Linked DNA regions of Styela clava. The protein of the gene in region 1 purifies or fractionates together with the protein of each later gene. This does not show direct contact. Links are inferred from orthologs where the notes say so. Each region holds a gene or a part of one and is shown on either strand. Other genes may lie near its edges.

The links. The genes of interacting proteins can lie anywhere in the genome.
Region 2: the proteins of synaptojanin-1-like (region 1) and endophilin-A3-like purify together in Drosophila melanogaster (affinity purification with western blotting; 3 studies listed by BioGRID). This does not show direct contact. The link is inferred for Styela clava from reciprocal best matches to the Drosophila melanogaster genes Synj and EndoA.

Annotation. Positions count from the first base shown.
Region 1 is NC_135258.1:23,400,815-23,408,762, forward strand, and holds the start of synaptojanin-1-like, read right to left. Parts: upstream 3,412-7,948; 5' UTR 3,359-3,411; coding exon 1-3,358.
Region 2 is NC_135252.1:11,289,102-11,297,605, forward strand, and holds the start of endophilin-A3-like, read right to left. Parts: upstream 3,582-8,504; 5' UTR 3,407-3,581; coding exon 3,377-3,406; intron 2,535-3,376; coding exon 2,463-2,534; intron 2,121-2,462; coding exon 2,001-2,120; intron 1,383-2,000; coding exon 1,286-1,382; intron 1-1,285. UniProt on the Drosophila melanogaster protein: Required presynaptically at the neuromuscular junction. Implicated in synaptic vesicle endocytosis.

The DNA.
Region 1 (7,948 bases):
CATATGATTCATTAGCAGAAAATGAATGTGAATGTTGTCGAAGTTCATGTTCAACATCTTCCTCCCAACCTCTACTTTTTAATGTGACATAAATCAATGTTCCATCAACAGAAGTTTCATTCAAGTCTGTGGCTCTAACTGCTGCTGTACCATCACTGAAAATAACCATCAGTTTCCCCTTGAAGTGTCGGGTGATGATAACTTCACCAATTTCGTTCAGCCTTGACATGATTGCTTCAAATAGTTCACCAGACAGTGGAATGTCACCAGTATTTTCTTCTTGGGTTAATGATATCAAGATAGTTGCATCTGGAGGACCTTGGGCTTCTACAAATTTATGAAATGTTGTATTGAGATGTTCTTCATCAGACTGTATAATATCGACATCAAGTATCGCTATAACGGGACGATGATCAGAAGTTTTAATATCAGCTTTATTATAATACAGCAATTTTCCAGGATTCCATTCTGGATCTTGACTTACTGAAACTAACGATGAGCCAGAATCTTGAGTGTCCGCAAACCATTTTCTTCGAAACCACAACACACGATCAGTCCAAGCTGGTGTCCTGGATTTTTCACTAGTATCATAGTCATCGGAAAACAAATCATACTTATAGGTTGGTGCAAAGTTAGTATCTCCTTCTAAAAAACACTGGAACACTCTTCCCTCTTTCTTTTCTGTACAGAGTTGGTCATTGCTTTGCAAAGATTTCCAATCCTTTTCAACAACTAATTGTTTAACCTCATCAATTGGCATATCTATCCGATAGTTCAGATCTCCACACCAGAAAATATAATCATGACAATAGATAGATTTATTTCCAGAGAAAACCATCTTCTTGGATATTTCAGCAAAATCATTATTTCGATCCTGTACTTGTCCTTGTCCAGCAGCTAGATGAGAGCATACAAAACACAAAGATGAGTTATGAAACTGCATTCGTATACCAATTCCTCCTTTGTTTCCAGTTGCACCCCCCAATCCAGTTTTTACAGTTCCAATTTCAACATCTCTAATATGAGGTGTATGATGCGGACGAACAAACACATAAAAGCACACACCAACAAGCTGTTCTGAAGCAAGAAGGACATACTTGTACTTGTTAGATATTGTCTTCTGCAATTCTATTCCCCAGGTATGTTGATTAGTATGGCTTGTATTTACAATGTTCCCAGCACTGAGTTCAACCATCTCTTGAAATCCAATAACATAAAAGTCCATTGCTTTATTCCAGTCAACCTCAGCATCATTATTGTCTGCAAGATTGCTAAAGGAGTCACTTGACAAACTATCTTTGAATATTTCAACATAGCTAGCTGGGAAAGTTCCTTCCAATTCATCAGGATTGTATTCATCTCTTGAAACCCTTCCCTTCCACCATTCACCTGTCATTTCAGTCACCTCAATTGTGTCGCCAGCAACAAAATCGAGATCGCCTTCCTGATGAGCTGGAAAGTCGTACAAAGCAGTATATCTTGGTAGCAATTTGGTGACATAAGCTGCAGGAAATATTCCATTACATCCATTGCAGGAACCTGACATCCATTCCCCATCCTCCAAGGCATGATGCACATCAATGATATCACCTGATGCGAATGACAAATCACCTTCTTCGGCAGAGGAAAAATCATACAAGGCCTTGTAAAAATTATTGGTTGGTGACTGTTCGCATTTGATGAGCCAGTCATCTAATGTTTGATCTTTATATGCCAGTGATCGGAAATGCTTTCCACCATTTACGTTCCAGGTTCCGATGGCAACTCTAATTGGCAAGATAGATGTGTAATCTTTGAATTTATCACACATGCCTCTCAAAACCGCTGTGGGAGCACGCAAGCAATCACCAGACATTAAATTGTTTGCCCTTGCCATCAGTTCAATATCTGCTGAGTTGGTACCAAGTATGAGTAAATCAATTGCACCTTGTTTACTCTGGTCAAGAAAATTGTTTTGTATTGCACGTGTCACCGATCTTGCACCATCTTTAAATTTTGTTTTACCTTCTAAGGCTCCAGTACCAGCATACATTCGACTGATTAGATCACCAGTAATGGGCCAAGCCGTTTTGAAAGCCTCTCTGAATCTATCTTCAAGTTGCTTATTATTTCCAAGTCCCAAACTTTCCAGTTGCTTTGGTAACATCTGCATTCCAAAATACGTTTTTGTACTATTTGTACGATCCAAGCAATCAAGGCAATTAATCCTAATGACACCAGTTTGAGTGATGCGTAACTTTTCATCATCTTTATAGGTATAACATCCATAACTCTCCAGTTTGTCCCATATCTTTGTTTTCAATTTGGATAAATTTTCAGATTTTCCTCTACATTCACAATGATAATCGAAACAAAACATTGTTACTTCTTCACTGAAAGCAGACTTTTCATGGTGTAGTTGGAAAAGCCTACTCAACATGCTCTCGTCCCCTTTACTACCAAGTAAATTAACTATGAGACACTGCCCATAATTATCCACAATGCTTGAAAAATGTCTATCATATGTGGGCGCAGATGCTTCAAATCCTCTAGAAATCTTGATTTTATGGGATCCTACATTCAGGCCTGGTTGCCCCCAAAACAATGGAATAGAGCCACGAATTTGCATGAATGAAGAAACATTTTCACCAAGTATGATTGCTTGTTCACTTTCTACAAAGTTTGCAACATGACCCTCATCGTCCGCACCTCGAACATTGAATCTTGTGCCAGCACGTTCGCAACTCAAACGTGATATAACCACAGCTCTGGCTTGTTGAGCACCTACATAAACAGTTCGTATGTCAATTCCTCCACACATAACTCTGAAGAGCCACAAGGCGCAATCAGCACCAAAATGTTTGAAATGCAGGTGCAAAAGGTGATTCCAAAAGAAACGTTGGTCATCATTCTTCTTGTCTTGATCCTGGAATGAAACAGTCAAATCCAAAATTTCACTCCCATTCATTGCAGACCAAGTAAAATAAAATTTTCCAGAGCTGAGTAACTTTTTAACATCTGTGCACCTGCTATCTGCATCTACAGTACCATTTTGCAAAGAAAAAAAACTTGCTCCAGTAATGCGGAATACTTCGCAGTTGAGTAACTTTCCAACTGGCATACAAGCAGTCACAAGCACCAGGTATAAGCTGCGGGCTTTACCAGCTTTGTCATCTCCAAACATCATAACTCCAAGACATCCATATGCATCAATTGCCTTTGTATAATCCGACTTAAGTTCTTCTTTCTCCTGCGGAGTAAGAGATACGACTGTTCCTGATTCTAGTAACAGTCCATCTTCAAATTGTCGAGACTCCAAAAGCACACTGTACGGTGGTCCTAGCTTATGCAGCACACGAAAAACTCGACTCAAAGACATAGTTAAAAATTAACTACATTACAATAAATAAAACTAAAGGATAAATTGTAAAAAAAAACTTTGTGATGAAATCAAGTAAATTTTCCTTGCACCAGAGTAGGGATGGGCAATATAGAATAATTTACTATTCTAGAATACTTAAATCGAATACCGAACCCTATTCTGTTTTTATTGTTATTCAAATGTGCGAATTCTTCCGCCACATTGATGAATTACAATTTAAAAAAAGTAATCTTGTGAATGTATTACTGCCTTTGTATTTAATTGAAAAAATCCTGAGCATTGGATTTTATTTGTTACCAAACAAGCCAATGAAATGTAAGAATTTAAAAAATTATTTTTTGCCTTGAATTGTTCAAAATTTAGGTAATACCTAAATACTTACCGGTATATGTTAATTAAAATATATAGCCTAGTGCATTATACACTTCAATACTAAATTGTGAAATACAAAATATAGGTATGAAAAAATATCAAATTATTATCAATGTGAGAGCGCGGAAAACACAGGCCAGACATAGGCCACTGCAATTTATGTGACCGCAACCGGAGCCTGGTAGGGCTCGCGTTAATCAATAATGTAAAATAAACTCAACGACTCAATCAATTATAATCGAGTATGTCGGCCTGTTTATTTTTTGTGAGCAAGACTCATAAAATAACATCTACAGACAAATTATTTTTAATTGCAAAATTTTAATTTTCAGTTATCGTTATATATCTACTCAGACTTGTCGATACGTTTTGCATAATGTTCATCAATAGTTCAGGCCGAGAAATGTCTTTACCACATGTGGAAACTTTTTTAAATTATCGTTGACCAACATACAGCCCGACACCTGACCAAATGTGTGTCTATTTTGGACGACAGTAACGATTTAATCGGCGACTTGAATTTCGAAGAATATGTATTTTTCTGACGGTCAGAGCAAAGATTCATTTTCATTAATAATATGATGAATCATTACAGCATTAAATATCACGAAGTACAGTAGGGCACAGTTTGCGTCTGGTACGATGGCTGATCAATACGTCAGATCGAGCCACGCTTGTCTCGATAATAATCGGAATTAATCGTGGCCGTTATTAGACCATAATTGCGTTTCTTTGCTAAAAACTGTCAAAAATATAATCCTTTGGTAAATCTAATTATTCTCTCCCCCCTAGGAACCCAATGGTGATGTTTTCAGATTGCACTTCCTTTTACTTTATTCTTCAGTAACGGATTGCCGATATGGAGGCCCAGACTGTCTCGCAGGGTCATAACCCCCCCTTTGAAAACAATTTTTGATGCGAAATTTTTTCTACAAAAAAGCAACAGCGCCATTTAACGGTTGCGCATCATGGTTTTGCGGCCATACGATATTATTCTGTGTGTTATCACAGACCAGACTTTTTTCGTCTTTACATCATGCTATCTTTGAATTGGCGCTGATAATGATAAATAAGAAGGTGTAATCGTTGATTGCAATTCAGTAAGGCACATTTTCCCTCCTCTCCACGAAACAGACATGAAAAGAATTTAACCGCCGTTATGGGCGCTCAAAAGGAGAGAAGGGTGATCAACTAATTTAAGGACTCTCTTTTTCCGGCGCAATCACTCAAATCAATCACAGCGCATTGAAAAGAAAAATTGAATTTATTAGAGGGTAAGAATTTACCGACGGCTATCTCTAACAGGTAGAAACGATTAATGTGGAAATGTTTTCTTCCTTCCCTTTTTCACGCCCATCATATTTTTCAATTCCTAACTTTGCATAAAGCGCGTCAACATCGCAATGACAAAAAATTTACTGCAGCCTTCGATTATGACAAATTTAGGAAATAAAACATTGTTACTGGATTTTTCAGTCTTCCGAAAAAATTCCCAAAAAAAAAAAAATTATTGTCACGACGATCGTTTTGGCAGCCGACATCTCAATGATGTTGTTCAAAATGACAATACTCATTATTCGGTGTTCATTAAAATCATCGAATAACCCGATTAGAAAGTACGATTTTGCACGCCACTCTATCAAGACCATGGCACATGTAAAAAATCATTAAATGGCTATAAAAATTACCTTCATTAACATTAAATTTCAAGTAATAGTTTCACATTTCTTTAAAATTAATTTTAGCGATTTTTAATGTTTTTATTTCTAACTACAGTTGCCCACTGACTACGGATTAATGGTCGATGTTTGAAATAGGACTTGCAAAATATGCACCATACACCGCCAGGCAAAGAGAGGCGGGCTACACACGTAACGAATTTCGCTGTGAACGACGCATACCTTTCAGTTTATAAATGCATTACATCATCGTGAACTGCCCTTTTGATGCACTGTTTTGATTTCACCGTAACCCCCCGTTGAAAAATCCTGGCTGCGCCCCTGGTTCCTAGTACTAAAGCTCCTCTCACACAAATTTTTTCACAGCATTCGAACCTGCACAGGGTACTGTAATTCAGAATACAGTAATTAGAAGTGCGATGGTAGATTGGCAGGCGGGGGTCAGACCCAAACGATCCACCGAGCTTTTTTTTTGCTAATAACGTAAATCAGTTTACTACTCATACATTCATAAACACAATTAAAACATAGAATACACACGTAGACTAAGCCATATCCTATTACCTTTTTTAAATGAGGACCCATCTTGGAACATACAGTCAGGGTTGCCAGATTTCAGCGATCAAAAAAAGCCAAATCAAGACATAAAATAGCCAGAAATAGCCAAAAATTTTACTTTTACTAAATACAGAAGTACAAAAGCCCCATGATTTGTCAGATTTGAAGCCCTTGGCACAATACCGATGCTGATGTAGAGCCATCAGTTCATTTAGTGATCCGCACAAATGTCTTTTCCCATTTAAAGTTGTATTTTCGGTTGCTATCATGGCGATTTCCACTTCGGCTGGACGAAGTGTTTAAAAGTGAAAAAGATTAATTGAATGGCAGCACCAGAATCTACATTCGGCACAATCAGACAATACCGGTACAGCAGTAGACTGCAGTCGAGATCTACAGATCTAGGCTATATGAAAAAGTTAAAAAAAATATCAAAAAACCAAATAAAAAGAAATATCAAGCGAACAGCTATATTTTACAATTCAATACTGCAATATGGCCTAGCCTATACAATACAGGGTGTCGCTTCAGTACAGCAGTATGTGATATATGTACCCACATGTTTCTACCTAAACTTGTGATATACCGGTACCGTTACCTTAAAAATTTCTCCCTAGCTATCCTATATAGCTGTATACCGTACTTAACTATAGAAAAATTTTTCACTTTTTGAATTTTGAAACCATTAATTTCATTAAAAAATTATGTCAGAATGTTCACAATCCTATTTCTGTACTTGAATCCAGGAATCTGTCTGAGCGTCTGCAGAAACTGCAATTATTTCTTAATCGTTAAGGTAATAAACAAGGAAATTGATGCTCGGGAAATCCAAATTTTAAGTACCGGTAGTCTAGCTAAGCAATACAGCAATAGGCTATTGTTACACACTAAATATTGTATTTAATATGATTTTAAGAATAGACCAGTAGACACTAGAATTTGAGAATAGACGTAAAAAAGTCAAACAGAAATTCTGACGCCAAACGTGTTTGAAGAGCCAAAAATCTGAAAATGGCAAATTTAGCATTAAAAAACGTGCCTCTTAGCTCCTACAGCTGTACAGGTAGTTAATTTTAGCGTAATTAATCACATCGCTGGTGAAACTCAATTCTGATTACTGCAACTAAACTAAAGCCCTACATATGACATATTGAAAATTAAGTTATACAACTATTTTTTGGAAACAGAACTAAAAACTGACAAATAGCCTAACACACAAAACTATAAAAACGAGGCAATGTCAGAATGTTCACAACCCTACCCTACTTCTGTACTTGAATCTGTCTGAGTCTGCAGAAACAGCAATTATTTCTTATTGGTTAATCGTTAAGGTAAAAAACAAGGAAATCGATGCTCGGGGAAATCCAAATTTTAAGTAGTCTAGCTAAGCAATACAGCAATAGGCTATTGTTACACACTACTGCACTAAATATTGTATTTAATATGATTTTAAAAATAGACACTAGAATCTGAGAATAGACTTAAAAAAGTCAAAAAAAAGCCAAACGGAAATTCTGACGCCAAACGTGTTTGAAAAGAGCCAAAGATGGCAAATTTGGAGTTAAAAAAGCCAATATGACAACCCTGCATACGGTACGGTACAGTATAAAAGAGCGATGCTCAAATACATGAACGAAGCGAAGCAGAATACAGTACCGTAACGTACGGCACTAACGGCAGCACGGCGTACCTTTATCTTACGCAGTGGTTCCAAACTGTGGGTCGCGACCCCAGGCGTGGTCGCTACTCGTTTATTAAAGATTTTCCGGGGTCGCTGAACGTACAATACGGCACACAAAAGTCGCTCGAATTTAATAGCGGAAAAATGAAATTCGCTATTTTTAAAATAGGAAATGACATTTACATGCCAATCTTTTGCCTTCTTCAAGTTGTCTTTTGCTAGCTTGGCCTTTATCCATAATTTAGGTTTATTTAATAAATAAGGAAAATTTATTTTCTATGCTTCAACCAAATAGGT
Region 2 (8,504 bases), on another chromosome or scaffold:
ACAAGCAGCAACTGAGAATGCAGGTTGATATTCAGTACATGAAACAATATTTGATTTTGGAATGTTTCACATACTTGTATATAGTTATCCATTCCAAAGCATTGAAATTTGAACGACTAATACAACAACTTTGTATTGTTTCAAAAAATGTGAATAAATAATATTTACTTCTAGTGCTTTTCAATAATGAGTTTACTTATGTTTAAGAGATGATTATGATTAAGAGATTATGAATCACCGCAAGCATATATATAATATAAACCTATAATATAAATATTTCTACGTAAAACAAAAACAGTCAACAATGACAAAAATCAAATTGTAGCACTTTAAAACCAAGACAATGATATCTAATTAAACAAAAGATGGGATAATCAATCTTATTTATAATGTAACTTATTATTTCAATCAATATTCTAATAAATTGATGAAAACATTGTGCTTTCACATATTAGCCTCAATCAAATGTTCTGAACATACATACATACAGAGATGGCCACAACCGAATAATTTAGTATTTTGAATACATTCGGATTTCTGATTCAACAATATTTTTGAATATGAAATATCTTCTGATCGTTTCATAATCCACAGAAATTGCACTATTACTATGAATTCATAGTAGTTGGATTTTGGGATAGTAGATTAGTTGAAGTAAATATTGGATTGATTAATTTTCCGTATTCAAATATTCAGAAGTAGCAATCATATTTTGTCTGATCATCAGATGTAATATGCCTAACATAACAAATTTTCGTGCCAATTTGCTATGCGATCTTAGTGACTTTAGTATTAACCCAACTCTAACCCAACGATGACAGGGTTGGAAACTGAATTCTATGAGACTGTCTTTATGAGATTAACGCATACCAAGGCGGCACCAAATTTCTATATGAAAACCTTTTATTTATTCCTAAAATCAATAATTCACTAAATTCAATATAACATATTATTCGGTTTATGATTTGTATGTTGTAGAAACATTCACACCAGTGAGAGGTATGAACACTTCCAAACTTAAAAAGGGAAACTGATGTAATTGTGATTCATACATGTCAAATCTTGAAGAGGTTGCTATATGCTAATATCGGATTGACAATATTAAATTGGTAGGCCAAGTGTCACACATCACACTTATTACATTCAGTACATTACATTTGATGTTACATCGTTGTGTTCCTCAGTATGGATAAATCAACAAAATACAATAAAACAAAGGATAATTATTAATCAGTTAGACCCACGTTACTCAATAAGCAAAATAATGAATATGTTTGAGCATTACCAAAGTGAGAATCAGTTCCTAATTCACCGCCATGTTTTTGCATACATTCGCCCAGTGTACCTTCTGGTTGAGGATATTTGATGTCTCTTTGCTTTCCCTGTAAAACATATTGCAAAGTTTGAAGTCTTTTTATCTCTACTTTCCATGAAACAATTATTGTGATCATCATTTTCAGGAAACATACATTCCAGTCATAGTCAAGTGCTGCAATATAAAAAATTGGGCAAAGAGGTAGCATAGTATTATAATGAACACTGAACTAAATCATAGTTGGAAATATTCTATGACCAATACTAACCAATATAATATGCCAGAACTTATGAATTAATAGGTAATAAAATAAATCAGATGGTCACTACAGGCATCTGCTTGCAGTAAAACTAATGATGCACAAAGCAATAAAAATATGTGAAGAAACTCCCGAGGGACCACATGGAAACACATTATTATCATTCAGATTGCTAACCTGACATCCAAGTATCCCCTGAAATGAAGTAAACAATATGAAGCCTATGATGGGAATTATATCCCAGAAATACTAAAAAAATAGCAATGAAAAACCGCCATGTTCACTGATATGATGTCACAATATTACAAAATTTGAAATTGATGAGGTAAAATGTGTTTTATTCGTTTAACCCAATCAATATAAATAGTCGGGCATTGGCCATAAATGAATGGTACTCAAACAGAATATGACATTGGAAAAATTTACCTGTAACTTTGATGCTGTATTCATCATGCTCAATTTAGCCCTTGATCCGGGGTTGGGTTGTAAATATTCTTTAGTAAACAGCATCACATCTTGTATGGCTTTGCTTGTTATGTCAACTTTCTGAGCAAGGAAATGGAATATTTCATAGGTAAGCCCATGTGACTGGTGCCACAGTCATTACATTGCACAATAAAAACAGTCAGTAATTTGATGACTTCCTTTTGTCGATGAAACAGAAGAAATATCAGGAACGAACTACGAGAGTAGAATCAATTGACCAAACCAATAGATTGTTTCATCAAGTTCTCGTAGAGAATGAGGCATTATTATCATTTTATCACAACTTACGTTACAAGGTCTTAGCCTTGAATCGTGAAAGCTGCAAACTCTTAACAATCATACTCAATAGTTAAGGATAACTTGGAAGGTAGCAAGGTAAATAAACGTAAAAAAATTAGGTACCCTCTCCATTTCCACAAATTCTCTATCCATTGTAGTTTTGTCATTCTCATTTCCAATCTTCTCTGACATATACTGTAAAAAATAACTAATTTTAAGTTAATTTTAACAATAGATTTTTAATAAATATGCTCTTATATGCATCAGAACTTTATAAATCTTAGTCATACAATGTATGAATGAAAAAATAAAATCATCAATCGTAAATTATACGACAAATAAATCAATAAAGAACTCAAAATTATTAATGAAAACCAGATTGAAAAAATTATTTGAAACAAGAAATTTTTTATGATGACAGTCAATAAGAGCTCACTCTTACTAGTAAGGTTATTGTACATTTATATCATCAAGTAGAACTGAGATAATTTTAAAAAAACAGCAACATAGAGACATAACATTTCTTAAGGATATTAGTGTATATTTATTGGTACAAGATAATGGAATTGTTAAAAGCATCTCTATTTATGATATGAGTACACAATGCACAAAACAAAAGAGAGAATTGACATGAATTGAAGATCAAAATAATGTAACCATTATTATGAAGTGAAGCAAGAAAAAAATAAAATAAAAGAACAAATTACTCATGACTGTAATTGAAAAAAAAGAACTAATGTATAACCGAAAAAGAGGAAAATCTTAAAAACAGCATGACTTTCAAAGTACATAACAAACAATAGTATGCTCCTAAAACAAGTCTGAATCATGTATACATTGTGTCTTACACATTAAGTTATTTAAATTTAGGAAAACTGTGAATAAAAAAAAACTGATCAAAGGTCAACCACTTCCATGCCTATGCAAATTATACCATATAGGGCTATTTGGTAATGCATGTATAATTTTGCAGCATCCAATGTAATAGGCATTGCAACATCTCCATCCAGAATTACAAAATATTAAGTTTTACTGACCTGACTCGCTTTGTGAAATTGTTTAATCATGCTTTTGAGAACCTTGTTAAGCCACTATGAAGAAAAACCAGGAGAGACAAGATAGGAAATATCCGAGTGAAAACCACAAATTAACTGTTGATATGAAACAAAAATTCTAATACACTGACACACAATGTGCCGTTATAATTCTAAATACCTAGTTCCCTGCGAAGAGAGAGATTGAGCTATTATTGATAATTATGTGACAAAAAGTCAGTGTGTATGTGACTTACCAAGTTGAACTTAGGTGAAAGTTCAATCATAGTCTTCTGTGATTTTGACAACATACCTTTAATAAAGACAAACCAATCAATGATTCACGGTACTATGATGTCACAGATTGTTTATAGCAGTGGTTCCCAAAAGGGACTTAGACATAGATAGAGAAATATCGAGTATAACACCTCGCTTTAAGCAGATGTGTTCAGAGAAGCTGCACACCTGTCATTAGGCTATATAAATAAGTGTAAATGTTATGATGTCATGTTGGTTTGTTGACATTGCCTTTATTCCTAAGGCCTACATGTTTACAAACTTTAAAACTCATAAAATACACATTAACAATCCCAAAATTGAGTTTTATTCTAAAACAGCAATTTGTTTTGCATGGAAGTACTTCGTAGTTTTTTTCTTGAGAATTTGGTGCCGCATGAACAAAAAGTTTGGGAATTGCTGCTTTATACTATAGTATTGACATAGCCTAAGGTTATTGAATGTAAAACCTACGATAAAGAGGCACTACTGGTTACATTTTGTGTTTTGCCTAAATGGGACATACCCATGCAAGGCTAATATCAGTGGTTTCAACCATTCAAACACTGTAGGAGTGGACACTTCTGATGGATTGCTTGAAAGTGGACAGACACCCTTTAGATCAGTGGTTTCCAGACCGCCAAACTAAGTGAATTAGTTCAATACTTTGGAGTGGGAGTGGTGACTCTTCTACGGCCCATGGGCCGGGGCCACGGCCCATCGAAACGGGCCTCGGCCCATCAGGCTATGGGCCGCGGCCCATCAAGTTGTGTAATGGGATGAAATAATGAAGACTAACAAATATGTAGTTCCTACCTAAATCGTACCCCCTCCCCGAACTTATAATAGAACTATAATGTGAAAAATCTGAACAAAGTTTTGTCCTAACCCTAACCTGGTACACATACTTCAGGTGTATCATTTTCTGTAGCTTAGTATTTTTCTTTATTTACCAGCACACAAAAACTGCGTTGAAGGAAGAGTATAATGAGTTTGTCTCATAAGAGGCCTATGAGTTTGAAAATCCTATGATAACTCGAATAATTCATTGAAAGGAAATATAACTGTCCATTCATGCTGTTATATTTACAATGTGTTGAAATGAACTAATTCTATTAATTTCAAACCTGCAGCTACAGATGACAATCACTCAAGCATGAGTGATGTGTCATCTGCAAATACCTTATAAACATTTATATGACTTATGCAATATTCCCAGCCTATAATTTCCTGTTAATATTATTCAAAAATAGATAAATAGAACTATGAAGAAAGTAAACAGCATTAACTCATGCCTTTTGTTTAAATTTATTTCAGGTAAACATGCCTATCTATTCACATTTATTATACAATAATTTTATATAAAGAATTAATTAATTTATCTATTTTCAAATTTTTTATAATAAATAAATTGAGTAGATCTCTGTCTACCATATCAGAAGATTTTTGTCAATCTACTAAAAAATAAGGAACGGTAAAATTTTTATTTATTTGCCTAATCTAATACAGTAATATATATTGTGTTCCAGGCAGTCCTGCAGTAACTAAGTCAGGGCAAGTTAGTGATAGCTTCTATATAACAAACGTAAACTTCAGAAATTGTTCTCAACTTCTTCCAAATTCAGGAATACATTTTTTGGTAAAGCATTTAACTGTCTAAACTAGGTGTTTTATTTTAATAAAGTTATGCCACAGGCCCACAGCATAGGCTAATCAAGTTCATCAGCCAATATTTCACTGTCCAAATAATTACAGAATTACAAAGTCTAATTATTCTAGTTAGCCTACTTGTTTAATATAATTTTCAATCAACATTTTCTGTACATTAAAATCCAATTCCATAATTCAATATTCAGATACTGCAGATAGCCTGTTCTTGTTACGCTATTGCGCTAGTTCAAATTAATTCGGAAATTACAATACTATTCTGCTATTGGTCTAGCAACAGTATCAACCTGAACTGTATAACATTATGGCCTGTTTTTCTTCACTTCTTAACACGTTAATCACGTGATCATTTCCCCCTCACCACTTAGGCCTATGTTCTCTAAATTCAAAAAATATTTGAAAGATTCAGACCCCCCGAAATGGCCCTAGAACAGTAAATTTAAAAATTCGCATTTTCTTATATACTGATTTGAGCCGATCCTAAAAACTGTTACACTTTCTAACAGCACACATACCTGCATTACTGCATACCTAGCTGTACCGGTACCCGTACTTTTTGACTGGGCTAATTTTTGTTATAAATTTTGAAATCAAAGAGCGGTGGCGCAAGAATACGTGCGCGATACCGTATTTGATATTCTTATTAAAACCAAAAAACTATATTCGAAGGTCACGATATAATAATCATATAATCAAGTTTTCGTTAGTTGACAATGCTACTCCTACTACTAACCGCTTTTACTGTTTTTTGTCTCAAAAAAAAAAATTTTAGGGTTTCGCATTGTGGATTCAAAACAGTTTTGTGAAAATAAATAAATTTTTGATCTTAAAAAAAAAAACAGTATTTAACTGTAACGTCAGCCCTATCTGCCCATCGTTCCGCAGTAGGTACGGGCAAGGGCCGGAGTGGGAGTGATCACTTTTTTGTGGCCCTGGGGCCGGGCCACTGAAATGGGGCCAGGCCACGGAGAAATTGGGGCCAGGCCACGGAGAAATTGGGGCCAGGCCAGGCCATGGTGATATGCAGTAATATCTGAATATGGAGCCACACTCAAATTCTGTTATGAAAAGTGGATTAGTCTTATTTTTTTTGTGTTCAACAGGTTAGTAATGATCTTGAAGGTACAGACAAACCCTCTTTGTGGAAAGAATACGCTTGAATCACATTTAACCGAGAATTTATTGCCTGGAAATACAGGATATAAAATGGAGCCACAGACTTGAGTTCAGTAATATGGAGCCACACTCAAATTCGTTTCGAGAAGTGGATTAGTCTTATTTTTTGTGTGTTTAAGAGGTTAGTAATGATCTTGAAGGTACAGGCAAACCTTATTAATGAAAAGGAAACGCTTGAATCACATTCAACTGAAAATTTATTGCCTGGAAATATAGGATAGAAAACGGAGCCACAGACTTGAGTTCAGTAATATGGAGCCACACTCAAATTCGTTTCGAGAAGTGGATTAGTCTTATTTTTTGTATGTGTCAACAGGTTAGTAATGATCTTGAAGGTACAGGCAAACCTTATTAATGAAAAGGAAACGCTTGAATCACATTCAACTGAGAATTTATTGCCTGGAAATATAGGATAGAAAATGGAGCCACAGACTTGAGCAGTTCAGTAATATGGAGCCACACTCAAATTCGTTTTAAGAAGTGGATTAGACCTATTTTTTTGTGTGTTTAACAGGTTAGTAATGATCTTGAAGGTACAGGCAAACCTTATTAATAAAAAGGAAACGCTTGAATCACATTCAACTGAGAATTTATAGCCTGGAAATATAGGATAGAAAATGGAGCCACAGACTTGAGTTCAGTAATATGGAGCCACACTCAAATTCGTTTCGAGAAGTGGATTAGTCTTATTTTTTGTGTGTTTAACAGGTTAGTAATGATCTTGAAGGTACAGGCACACCTTATTAATGAAAAGGAAACGCTTGAATCACATTCAACTGAGAATTTATTGCCTGGAAATATAGGATAGAAAATGGAGCCACAGACTTGAGCAGTTCAGTAATATGGAGCCACACTCAAATTCGTTTTAAGAAGTGGATTAGTCCTATTTTTTGTATGTGTCAACAGGTTAGTAATGATCTTGAAGGTACAGGCAAACCTTATTAGTGAAAAGAATACGCTTGGATCACATTTAACGGAGAATTTATTGCCTGGAAATACAGGATAGAAAATGGAGCCACAGACTTGAGCAGTTCATTAGTATGGAGCCACACTCAAATTCGTTTTGAGAAGTGGATTCGTCCTATTTTTTGTGTGTTTAACAGATTAGTAATGATCTTGAAGGTACAGGCAAACCTTATTAGCAAAAAGAATACGCTTGAATCACATTTAACGGAGAATTTATTGCCTGGAAATACAGGATAGAAAATGGAGCCACAGACTTGAGCAGTTCAGTAATATGGAGCCACACTCAAATTCTGTTATGAGGTGTGGATTAGTCTTATTTTTTGTGTGTTTAACAGATTAGTAATGATCTTAAAGGTACAGGCAAACCTCATTTGTGAAAAGAGTATGTTTGAATAGCATTTAACTGAGAATTTCTTGCCTGGAAGTACAGGATAGAAAATGGAGCCACACTCAATTTCTGTTATGAAAAGTGGATTAGTCCTATCTTTTGTGTGTCCAACAGGTTAGAAAAGATCTCGAAGGTGCAAGCAAACCTTAATAGTATAAAGAATCGAAATATATTTATATAATATATATTTAAGAGAAAAAATATTGCTTGGAAGTACTACATAAAAAACACGAGACATTAGCCATAGTGCTACTGTGTTTACCCGAAAAAAAGACCTAGCACGAATTTTAAAAATAATTTTAATATAAGCCTTCCCCATAAAATAAGACCAAGTCAATACCGCGAGATTTTTTTTATCCCCCTTACACGTTTTAAATGATTGATAATAATCTATGTTCTGCAGTTGTTTTGAATAAGAACGTGTTATTCATAAGTAAATGGTTATAAGTTTTCATAGTTTGTATATTTGAAAATCTCGTAATTTTTAATCTTGTTTTTTAATAAATAAAAATATAAGACATCCCCCGAAAATAAGCCCTAGTGTTATTTTTCGGAAGAAAATTGAAATAAGACCCAGTCCTATTTTGGGGGGAACATGGTATATCTGTATATGGAGCCATACTTGATTTTGTATTTTTTTTTTTTTCATGGCTTTCA